Bombyx mori: one gene and its partners. The protein of the gene in region 3 interacts with the protein of the main gene of each other region in a pairwise test. Links are inferred from orthologs where the notes say so. Each region holds a gene or a part of one and is shown on either strand. Other genes may lie near its edges.

Evidence for each region.
Region 1: the proteins of serine/arginine-rich splicing factor 1A (region 3) and ribonucleic acid binding protein S1 interact in a two-hybrid assay, tested with the Homo sapiens proteins (2 studies listed by BioGRID and IntAct, with this or other methods). The link is inferred for Bombyx mori from reciprocal best matches to the Homo sapiens genes SRSF1 and RNPS1.
Region 2: the proteins of serine/arginine-rich splicing factor 1A (region 3) and nuclear RNA export factor 1 interact in binary tests that used the Homo sapiens proteins (3 or more experiments, as listed by UniProt). The link is inferred for Bombyx mori from reciprocal best matches to the Homo sapiens genes SRSF1 and NXF1.

What each region holds. Positions count from the first base shown.
Region 1 is NC_085114.1:7,346,411-7,350,673, reverse strand, and holds the start of ribonucleic acid binding protein S1, read right to left. Parts: upstream 2,801-4,263; 5' UTR 2,631-2,800; coding exon 2,629-2,630; intron 2,544-2,628; coding exon 2,433-2,543; intron 2,167-2,432; coding exon 2,032-2,166; intron 788-2,031; coding exon 641-787; intron 547-640; coding exon 305-546; intron 1-304. UniProt on the Homo sapiens protein: Part of pre- and post-splicing multiprotein mRNP complexes. Auxiliary component of the splicing-dependent multiprotein exon junction complex (EJC) deposited at splice junction on mRNAs.
Region 2 is NC_085124.1:4,529,786-4,533,971, reverse strand, and holds the start of nuclear RNA export factor 1, read right to left. Parts: upstream 2,801-4,186; 5' UTR 2,416-2,800; coding exon 2,358-2,415; intron 2,143-2,357; coding exon 1,549-2,142; intron 1,226-1,548; coding exon 1,035-1,225; intron 600-1,034; coding exon 490-599; intron 1-489.
Region 3 is NC_085122.1:429,901-434,035, forward strand, and holds the start of serine/arginine-rich splicing factor 1A, read right to left. Parts: upstream 2,801-4,135; 5' UTR 2,582-2,800; coding exon 2,403-2,581; intron 1,660-2,402; coding exon 1,296-1,659; intron 402-1,295; coding exon 325-401; intron 1-324. UniProt on the Homo sapiens protein: Plays a role in preventing exon skipping, ensuring the accuracy of splicing and regulating alternative splicing.

The sequences.
Region 1 (4,263 bases), on a different chromosome or scaffold from region 3:
TCTTGGGCCAAGGTCTAGAATCTGGGAGACATTTGTTATCTCCTGCCGCCATGTAGTCCGTTTGCGACCATGCCATGCTAATTTTCGTCACATCTTTACCGGTTTGTGCAAGTCAGACTGAATTTTTTTGGTGACCAATAAAGAATTAAAATCAACAAAAGCTCCATGGTAAAGATTTGAATTTGCAGACATAAAATAGAGAATTTGTTCCAGTGCATCCCCAACACATACTTAATATTAAACTTCCCTACAGGGAGAAAAATATTAAGGGTTAAAGTTAAAAGATAAGTGTTAAGTTGGTTACCCCCGTCCATGTGCTTCATAGCATTTTCTGCTTCATCAGCATTATTAAACTCAACATATGCGTATCCTCTTCCATTATGTGGGTGAAGTCGGTCCATAGGAAACTCAATTGATTTCACAGTACCATATGTCGAAAATATTTCATGGATGTGATCACGCGTTACATTTAAAGTCAGTCGTCCAATGTGGATACGAGTTGGTCGTGGTGGTGGTGAGCGTTCTCGCTTCTTACGTCCTGGAGATCTGAAGAGAAAAAAAGAAATTCTTATTATTATTTTACCAGGGGCCATAATATGGCGTATTAAGGCTATAATTTAAAATAATAACTGTTTTGTACCGTTCCTGTTTTTCCTTAATTTTAGCTTTGTCATTTGATAAAGGTAACACAGATTTTTTTTTTTCTCCTGTTGGTGATCTATCTCTAATCTTCTCCCGATCAGCATCACGACGATCTTTAAGTGGACTCTTGTTTGGTGAAATTGTTCTAAAAATAAAGAAAATGTATGGTCAGGTTAGCAATCTTAACATGCATGATGCCCAAACATAAAAAAAAAACATTTTAAAAGCTTTGATCAATTTCATTGACTTCAAATTATTATTTTATCAAATAGTGTTTCAATTCTGATTGTATTTTTTTCTCTTTTAATTAGTACTGTAATGATCATGAAATAAATTAATAATTTACTTGTGGCTTTCCGTCCCTGCATTATAAAGAAAACTATATATGAGTCAACTATTATCAAAGCCGGCAATGTGACTTTTGGATAATTATTGGTAAATCAGAAAACAAATTATTGACTTTGTATTCCATTGGCAGTCACAAAACTCTTCCGATCGACATCTTAGATAAATAACAGGTTAAGTATTAACCTTTATTTAATGCAGGTTTTGAACCGTATTCTTTGAAGAAGACGATTATATTCAAATCAATCTGTATTGACATATCAATAATTTTTTTTTGTCCAAATGCACAGATTGCCGCCTTTGATAATAGACGACTCATATATCAGGTTATTACATGAATATTATATTTCCTGAATCAGATATCATATTGTAGAAAAAAGAAGACCTATTATGGGCTTAGGAGTAATCACTTTCAGATTTCTACTAAATTATAGAAAATTAAATATTGTTTTAGTTAAATTAAGTACTGTTTAAATACCTACTGTTCAATATTGTTATTGATTGTTTCAATAACAACCTACCAGTGCAATATTTTTCCATTAGATGTGGATAGGATTGTGGCCATCTAGTGTTAATGGAGCCCTTACATATCACAATATTGATGCAGTCATTCACCTCGAAACATGAGATTGAAGAACTATAACTACGCCCTATTCCTTCAGTACAGAATGTATCATAACATATTTAGCTAACATATAAAGCAGATGGCTTTTTCTAAAAACCTGATTTGCTCTACATTTTGATGGTCTACTCAGCATATACTGTAACTTATTAAAGATCTATCTGACCTTCAACCTTATTGCAGGATTGTATGGAGTGCCCCCCATAATATTATCAAAATTTAACAAAATATGAACATCTATAATGAATTGGTGTTCGTTAGTCTCGCTAAAACTCGAGAACAGTTGGACTGATTTGGCTAATTTTGGTTTACGATGTCTGCCGGTTCAGCTAGTACTGAATAAAAACTTCGCTTTGGCTTAAGAAATTGCAGATTGTTTAATAATAATTATATTAATCCTTATCTTATAATTTTAAGCTTACTTTTTCTTAGGCCTTGAACGGCCATTGTTACTGCTGCTACTGCTAGATGAGCTGGATGATGAAGATGAACGTGATGAACTTCCTGAGCTACTGGATGATGACCGAGAGGATGACCTTGAAGAACTACTTGATGAACTGAAAATAGATTTAAATTATATTGGTTGAGAAAGTAACTCCCAGGATAAGGCTTATGTACTTTCATTATTTAGTTTGTACCAATAATCACTTCAGCAAGATATTAACAATTTGCGTGGGTTTTTTGTATCTATTTGGTTTTTCTAGTAGTGTATAGTAAGTTGACTATTTCTTATTATAACTTCCGTTGAAGAAAGAAAGCCCGCTTTTAACATAACCTCCAAAGAATTGTGTTACAAATCTTAATAATACATTAGTTGGGATACCTTCCACTACTATCACTGCTGCTGGAGCCTGAGTCACCTTTCTTTTTCTTGCTTTCTTTGGGTTTCTTCTTCTCTTTCTCAGCTGCAGGCAAAGGCGATTTATTTCTAGCCCTGGTATTGAAATGAAACATGTTAACGGGCCTCTCTAAATGTACAATAGTAGAATTTTTATAGAATAAGTTGAGGAAACACTTACATTTTCAACCTACTATGTTTTTATTTACGTTTCATGAATGTAAAACCTTAGTAAAACAATGTCGTCTTCGAAATCCGATAGCGTCATTTGCCGACCACGATCAGTTCATAGATAATATTAAGTGTATAATCTATGCATAGATATTATCTATGTTAATACAGATCAGTTGTCAATTACAGATTGTGTAGAAATTATTTAGTTTTTAAGGGATTTTATGACCTGGTAACTGAGACCTTTAAGGCATGTCTTATTTTAATTTATATTCATATTTTTATGAAAAATGATATTATGAAGTGAAATGAAATGAAGATGATTAATTTGACATTGACATCAATCAACTGGGATGAAATTAAATGAAATGAAATGAGATGATATGGGATGAAATATAATCTCAGTAAAATGGTGGTCATTTACTAAGACTTTTTCCGTGGACTTTTTGGAGGATCCTGAGAAGTTACGTCCAGCGGCTTTCTTTTATTTTCCCTCATTTATATTATGAGGGAAAATGAAAGATATTAAACAGTTAATAAACCACCATTATTACACATTTAAACCCGAAAAAACATTAAATAGACAAAATAAAATAAATCACACAACTTCACTCCTCGCGTTCCCGCCAAAAAGTCCTGTAGAAATTATATTTTTAGAGATTTTATGACCTGGTAACTGAGACCTTTAAGTCATATCTTATTTTAATGTATATTCTTAATTTTATGAAAAATGATATTATGGAGTGAAATGAAATGAAAATGATTAATTTGAGACATTAATCAACTGGGATGAAATTAAATGAGATGATATGAGATGAAATCTAATCTCAGTAAAATGGTGGTCATTTACTAAGATTTTTTCAATGGACTTTTTGGAGGATCCCGAGAAGTTACGTCCAGCGGCTTTGTTTCATTTTCCCACATTTGTGCACTTTCACAGATATTAAACGGTTAATAAACCACCATTATTACACATTTAAACCCGAAGAAACACTAAATAGACAAAATAAAACAAATCACACAACTTCACTCCTCGCATTCCCGCCAAAAAGTCCGTAGAAATTATAGAAAAATCCATAGAACAGTATGTACTGGTAAAACGGGGTGGTTAGGGACAAATTCCAACTTGATGAACAATTTTAAGGTAGTTGTTGATGTTTAAAATGCTATATCAGGATCAAAATGATTGAGTCTTGGGGGTATCTTTGTTATCCAATTTAAAGCTATGCAATTAGCATTCGAGTTTAAGCTAAGAAAGCAAAAATAGGTGCTATCCCTATTTACCCAGAAATTAGCTAGAGCTTGCACTCCTTGATTTTAATCAATTATTTTATTTAGTTGCAATAACAAAGTGATCATCAATAAAAACATTGAAAAACTGACAAAAGTACACGGCAGATGGCATGAATTTAGGTGCAATCGATAATGCATTGACAAAAAAAAAAAAAAAAAATAACTAAAACTTGATTACATTTAATTACTTATGATTAATTTATATTTGCTTGGGAAATTATCTGTGACAGATTTTTGAAGTTGTAAGACAATTAGAAAAAAAACATCTATTTCATCACTTAAAATTAGTTCAGCACAATCGGACAACTCCGAATGAACATTGACGGAGACCGCGCTGCCCGTGGACATTATT
Region 2 (4,186 bases), on a different chromosome or scaffold from region 3:
ATATAATGCTGTGAGTGACCTATTCCTAGGTAAATATTTTTAAATGTTACTATTTTGTATCAATTATTTTAATACTCTGATAAATATGTGAGTCAGGGGAATATGGAAATAAGAAGGCTCATTGTCTGTTGGGACATTTCCCAAGAAATTTTATGGAATTATCCTGCCAATTTTTTGCTATGTAAAATTATGTCTTTTAAAAAGATTAGTCAACTATAAGTATATTTTATTAAGGGATATTTTACTGATTTTGTTATAAACAGTATAGGAATATAATATATGTTATCACAAATTTAACTTATGATAAAAAACATCTTTACTCATTTCATCTACTTAAACAAGCACAATTCAGCAACAGTACTGCCACAGTTTGATTTTATATAGCTGTCAAGTTTCCATGGCTTAACGCTAATGGTAAACTGTGTTATAGGATATTCAAAATATCTTGGGGTGTGACCCCAAAGATACTGTCTACAACATTAGCGTTACCTTATGTAGATTTCGTGATCATGAAACCTGTTCACCAGTGGGTTTCCTTTGAGGTATAGCTCAACTAGCGGTAATGATCTGATTGGGTCCAGTGATCCAAGGAATGGAATCTGGAAAAGGTTTAAATGATAATTAATGTACATTATTGGTTTTTTAATAGCATTCATATATTTTTAAAGATGTCTTTCGTTTACTACATTTATTTTATATTTTACTAATGTAATGCAAATGATGAGTTAGTAGAAAAATACTTACACTACACAAAATTGAGAAAAATGTCTACCTTAACAATCAGATATAGTGCATGTGAAAACAAATTAATTGCAAAGATTGTTAGTTGGGGTATATAATAAAGAAAAAAAAAACCACAAATTTATTTGTCAAATGTAGATAGGGATTTTGTATCCTACCTAATTACTGTTAGCTTGTGGGGCTATTCAAACTATGCCTAGATAGGAATGTGCACTGAAGATGATGATATGAATATGAATCAGTCATTTGAAATTTTACACTGGTCTAAATTGTCGTAAATGTATTTGTCTTACCCTATTATCGCCCATATACAATATTTTCAAATTCTTGAGCTTTGAAGACAAAACCTTGAGATGCTGCAAACCATGAAGCTTATTATCATTTAGGTTCAAAGCTTCTATGTCTGGAATATTCTCTGCTATTATATCTATAGCAGCCAACATTATCATTGGACGGAACAGTGCACAAAATATATCTTCTAGATCTGAAAAATAGTATTATTTCAATATTCACCCAGTAAAACTATTGTCTTTACATTCTATAAAATAACTGGTTATAAATATTGTTGTTACATTGCTGCATTATAAAAGGGCAAACCAGTATGCGCTCTTAAATAGATTATAGCTTATGTGGGCCCATAAGAAATTATTCCCAAAAGTCTAGCTTATTATATCTCTAATTGAATGAAAAAGAAATTATAATATGTATTACTAAGCTGTTTACTAACAAGTTGAATTTTAGACATTGCAATGAATGTATTGTAAATAATGAATATGTAAAGCAATAACAATATAATTGGACAATCACCTGGATCAGCATGGAATTTTGTTAAATCTAATGCCTTAGTTGTAGCATTATACCTCTTCGCCATTGTCAATTTCATCTTCTCTTTCATGGCAGCGTCAATGGCCATGTTTGGAACAGCATTCCTCACAATAACAATTAACTTAAAACCATCTGACATAGTGATCTTTCTATCAGCATTATAAAGTTTTTCAGCTGTTTTGACATCATCAACATAGAATACTGCAGCATTTCCATTGACTTTATAGTAATGTGGAATGAATATGTCGGGTGAAAGAAAACCCAACAAGGCTCGGAGGATAACATCTTTTTCATGTTTTGCTCCATATGGAATGATTATTTGGTACCAAGGCAGTACACCAGGAATAAATTTCTTTTTAGTGTGTCCGTGGCTTCCTTGCGGAGCTGGAGAGTACATTCTCCCACGTCCCCTGAAAGAACTTTTCCGGACCGGTCCTTGAAGAGCAGAACTACCCATGTCAATATCATCATCAAGGAGGGCTAAAGGATTTTTCCAAGTTCGAAATTTATTTTTTCCTTTAGCTCCAGGTTTAAAACTGACATGTCTCGGCACACTATTGACACGGTCATCGTGTTCTGAAAGTATATCATTTGTAAATCAAGTATTAATAGTCAATAACTTTAAAAACTCATATATTATTCATTGGTATCATGAACTTTATGATGCATGATTTTGCCTTTATGTATTAAACATAAGTAGCGCTAACAACAATGGAATACATTATTTTTTGATAATTCACTGTAGGAACTACAAAATCACAACAGAATATAAATAAAAGTGTTCCACTTACCAAAATGGTCAGTATCAGCCTTCCAATTTCTATTCCTTCCACCGCCACGTTTTGGCATCGTGTCGAAGAAGCTTTAATCACCAGTATACAAATACCGTGAAAGTAGTTCTTTAAGGTTTCCTTATTTTCTCACATGCGTGTAGAATAGTTAACTGAGATAAAGCCAATGATAATTGAATAATAGCTTTTTTTAATTAACAACGCAAATTACAAAAGAGTTAAACAACTTTGATGGTGTAAAATTACCCTACACTCAATAAATTTTAAGTATGGTTAGTTAAATTATATATTTGGACGTTATTAGCAATCCAAATATTTCCAAAATTAATCACCAAAAACTAAATAGCGTCTCTCTTGTGAATCTTAAACCTGTTCTTTTTCAATGTGAAACAAAATGGATGGCGACATTTGTAGATTATACACCTGTATAACCTATGGATTACACTTCGTCTTTATTTTTGGCTCCGTACGGTTTGTGCATTAGCCAGCGTCAAGTAAAAGATTTTTATGTTTCGCTGTTTTAATTATTGAAAATAGTTTATGAATAATAAAAAAAACGAAGGAAGGGTCTCAAAGGAAATGTCATATTTAAAAATATAATTTTAAAAAAAGTAAGGAGTTTATTGAAAAAATGTTTATTACATATTAAAATACACTGTTTTGGAATTTATTTTTTAAAAATGACATCGTCGAAATGTAAACCGTTGCGTTCAGGGCATTCGTTTAATCGAGCACTAAAATTGCCTATGACGGCTCGGCAGGTGTTCTCCGTGATGGCTTTCGTGATAGATATTTTCTTTTAATTGTGTGTGAAAGTCGATTTGTTGGTGTAAACTTTGGATTTGATATAACCCCACAGGAAAAAGTCCATAGATGTCAAATCGGGACTGCGTGGAGGCCAACTTATGTCACCTCTCCTGGAGATCAATTTGCCAGGAAAAAATTGACCTCTGACCAGTATCCTGAAGTTTTAATTCTTGCACCAACTGAATTTGTACGGGTGCAGTTTTAAATCTTTATGCAAAATAGGGCATCACGACGATCTGTGCACGTTTAAGGCCACCGCACGCTTCTCAATTGAAAGGTTCAGATCGTCCCGAATAGACTGGGCAACACTGTCTACGTTTTCGAGTGTTCTCGAAAATCTTGGACGACCGGATTTTGGTTTTTCCAGGTTATAGTAATAAGCAGAGAAACGAAAATTATAAAAGAACGAAATACGAACCTAACATTACAAATGGTGAAAAATAAAATTTATCAAAAAAGCAAATAAGCATAAAAAATGTCCCTGACAATGACTCGTCAGGGGAACGCACATAAATAAATAAATAAATAAATACTACCATAAGACGAATTGTTGCTGAAGGCAGATCTAACAGAGATGTATTTAGTACGCAGGGCAAAAAGAGGAAAGGTGGTAAAAATACTGCGCCTTCCTTATCTTCCTCTTCTGATAAAGACTTTTTTATGGATGTGCAGTATTTGGAACCATTTTTAAGTTTTTTTTTTTTTTATTTTTTTTTTATTGCTTAGATGGGTGGACGAGCTCACAGCCCACCTGGTGTTAAGTGGTTACTGGAGCCCATAGACATCTACAACGTAAATGCGCCACCCACCTCGAGATATAAGTTCTAAGGTCTCAGTATAGTTACAACGGCTACCCCACCCTTCGAACCGAAACGCATTACTGCTTCACGGCGGAAAATAGGCGGGGTGGTGGTACCTACCCGCGCGGACTCACAAGAGGTCCTACCACCAGTAATTACGCAAATTATAATTTTGCGGGTTTGATTTTTATTACACGATGTTATTCCTTCACCGTGGAAGTC
Region 3 (4,135 bases):
TCGATATATATAAAAATGAATTGCTGTTTGTTAGTCTCGCTAAAACTCGAGAACGGTTGGACCGATTTGGCTAATTTTGGTCTTGAATTATTTGTGGAAGTCCAGACGTTTAAAAGGTAAAATAAAATTTTGTTTTTCCTTTGATGTGTCCCCCGTTGGACGGATTCCTTTTGTTTGTTTTAAGTTTATTTTATACAATAGTTAGGTCTTTTATTTATCGATTGAGGCACTACGAAGTCTGCCGGGTCAGCTAGTTTAATCAATATATTTGGCCAATTAAATGATATAGTAGTCAGTTAATGTAGTAATGGTATGTAGTGGTACCTGTCACCGCCGCCGCCACCACCGCCACCGCCGCCACCGCCATAGTCTTCCTTCACACGTATATATGTCACCTCACCCTGGAAATGAATATTTAATAGACGTCTAAATCTTGCACTACATGACACTGCTTGCTTTTTAAATTTCTTGAGTTGATTGTAAAACGCTTTTACAGTGTAATATAGCTTTCTTTTCATTCATTTTATAATCTTCATCATCTATGACCATAAGGTCTGTAATATCAAGATTAAGAAAGTATGGTTCAAATTTGATCCATGGTTCAAATTTCTTTTGTAATATCAATATGAAAGCAAACTCAGTTTACTTAAGCTGAGATGATGTTTTGTTGCCTCACATCTCATTTTACATTCCATTTGTTCTTTTCAATCTCATATCAGTTTTTCTCAAACTGAAATTACTTTACCATAATTGACAAGTGAATTGTTTTTTAAAAAAAATATTTAACTGTATGTTGAAAGGACAATCTCATTTTTTATAATTCAGTAAACAAATTGGTAACAAGTATGGGCAGAAAAAAACATTGAAAAAAAAAAAAAAAAAAACTGGTATTGCAAATAATCAGAAAAAGGAGACAGCTTAGTCCAACCTAGCTAAAGAATTCAAAAGTTTGTTTTGCTTACTTTATTTACTTGAGTTTTACAGAATGCAATTTTGGACATTATAGATATCTACTGAGTTTGACACAAAATAACAGTTGTTGATTTTGAGCAGCTATTTGTAAATGAACAGTTTAAGCACTATCCCATGGTTTAATTTCTCCTTCATGAGCCTTAAACTTCTAACTAATTCAAATTAAACTATAAAAGTATTTGACACAATTGATTATCTTGAAACTTTTATGTCCACGTTGGGTAACAATGATAAAAAATTTGGGACAATCCACCAACAGTACTGTTCTTTCACATTACAGGTTATGTTTATAATTATTTTCAAATAAAGTGGAAGAAACTAACCTCATGACTCCTAAATCTAGAATCATCTAACTTTTTAACAGCATACTTCATATCTTCATGCCTCAAAAATTCCACAACACCAGATCCATCTTTAAAGGTGTCTGCAAAGCATACGTCGCCGGCCTCTCGCATATGGTCTTTGAGGTCCTGCCAGGAACCCGAGGGCGGTAAGCCGGTAACGAGCACGCGGTATTCAGAGCGTCGAGCGGGCGGACCACGTGCTGCCCCTCGTCCACCCCAACGGTCACCACCGCCTCGAGAACCACGAGAGCCTCCACCTCCACCTCCACGAGGGAACTCGACTCGAAGACGGTACCCATCATAGTCGTAACCATCCCTGGCTCTTACTGCATCATCTGCATCTCTGAATTCCAAAATAGATTTTATTAAAATAACTTGTCTCAGATTAATTTAGGTAGATATGACTGTATATTCTACTAGGAGTGAAACAAGGCAGGCTCTGAGCTGTGCACCTGGTATTCTTGACGTTCATTAGTGACAGTAACAACTCACCATGAAGTGGACATATCTAATAAAAGAACCAATCACACACAGTTTTGACATCACTCATTGTGTAATTTTAATTTAATATGTTGTGTGTTTATATGTGTGTTATAATTTTATATAATTGGCAATAATCAGCAAATTTTATTGATTTTAATTTTTCTGAAATAATTAGAAATCATAGGTGAATATTATTAGATTTATGGATACAGGTGCTCTGGCAGACTATTAAATCTGTGCCACCCTTCATATATTTTAATATGTGCCAACTTTTAAACTAATTAGTTGTCAATTAATCATAAAATAATAAATGATTAATTGTTAATTTAAAGTCCCATTTTCATTTATCAGTAAAAATGTTTACTTAATCTGTATCTGTATCTGTGGTGTGGAAAATTATATTAACGCTGAATAAAATTGTTCATTTCGCTATAGTCGGGTACAGATAGCGGTGTATGCGGCATAACGTATGCGCTCTTTTAAATCTTCTTCAAAGGCAGCTGAACATTCCGTCCACCTGACACGGGATGATTATCGCTACTCAGACATGGACAACGTTAGTAATATAGATAGCCCGTTTCTCTTTTCGAATTCAACACTCACCTGGGATCCTCAAATTCCACGAACGCGAATGGCGGACCTTTTCTGTTCTTTAGGTCAACGAACGTTACTTTTCCGAACTTGTAAAACAAGTCTTGAATATCCTTTGTCCTTATGTCCGGTGGTAAGTTTCCAACATATATACGACACTCATTTCTGTTGCTACTGCTTCCACCCGACATTATAGCTAAAGAATATTACTATTGCTTAAACGTTTACTTATTATTATGTTGGCTTCATCGACTAATTTCACCAATCCGACGCTTTACTGTGTGTAATTGAAAGTCGGGCAATATGGCGTCAAATGTCAATGTTCCGATTTTGGATCACGGTGGATTTGACAGAAAAGAAAACGATAATCATGAAAACGGAAGTGGAAAAACCTGGTCATAGATTATAAATATGTGGCTGTATAATTTTTACAAAAGTCCGTGTGAAAGGATTTATACAAAGATGTGTATGTAGTCGTCCGGCACATTTTAAAACTAAACACCATAAAATTGAATAATTAATCTGAAATGTAGTTTGCTTTTGGTGATATCAGGATCAGGACACTTATCATTCTTTCCTGCTTGTCCGGAAGTTTCTGTGTCGAAATCAGTACCTATAGCGTGTTTTATAGGTCTTTCTAATTTCGAGCCCGCTGCCCTTCACTTTTGTTAAATGGAAATTAATATATAGGCTGATCAATATTGGCAGTTTCGAGTTATGTTAGTAACATTAAAGTATGGGTTTTCCCATATAAAATCAGGTAGGAACTTACTAGAGAACTTGTACTTGAACTTGTGCTTAAGGTGTCATCTTCTTGAATGGATTAAATAAAATAAAATAAAATAAATAATACAATAAGGCTATGCGTCATGATAATCGCCTTATTGGTGCCACCGTTGATTACTCCTCGAATTCTAATCATGCAGGAGCCAGTCACCGTTGATGCCCTAGACACGTCCTTACGGATCCATCAGATCCAATAACCTTTGCATTAGAAGCCTTCAGCTCTAACACTAGTAGCAGGCTCAGGGACCCCGGTAACCGTACTCATAGAACTCGACAAAGAGTTCGACGTGCAACCTAATCTATGTATCAGCCCGCTGAGTTTCTCGTCGGATCAGCTGTCAAAGCAGCTACTCTTGAGTTGATAAGTCTCCTTCGGAGGCGCTCGGGCAGCTGTTAAGTAATCCCACCCCTCCTGGCTGCGCTTTTGCTCACCTAACTGTCCTGGTGAAATTAGTGTAGGGGAAGCTTAACGACCGAGGGAAGATCTTCCATCGAGCTGGTGATATTGCTCGGTAGACCGACGGTCCGAATGCTGTTGTTCGGAACTTGTATATATGCGCTTTAACTTGAAAATGTCGTAAGCGAGATTCAGACATCTGTCAATTATCTTGCGTTGTATGATGGCTACCCGCCACATCACTCCCCTCCGAGACTGGAGGTCGTGTCATTTTTAGTTAGCGTTGTCCATGCTGAGATTAGCTTGCAAGGGCCAGTGCTGCTCGAAGCCTGCGGTGAGTCGAGGCTGAGCTTGAATTGCTGCGTGATTGTCGCTAGTGCTGCTCGTAGTCTGCGGTGAGTCGAGACTGAGCTTGAATGCTGCGTGATGAGGCAGTGTAGGTGCGTGCCGTAGGAGCAGGAAGCGCGGTGAGTCAGCTGCGATGGTCCTATCGAGGCTGCGATGCTGGCTTGCTGTGGGACTACTGTCGATGACTTGCTTTTATCTGCGAGAATTGTGGTAG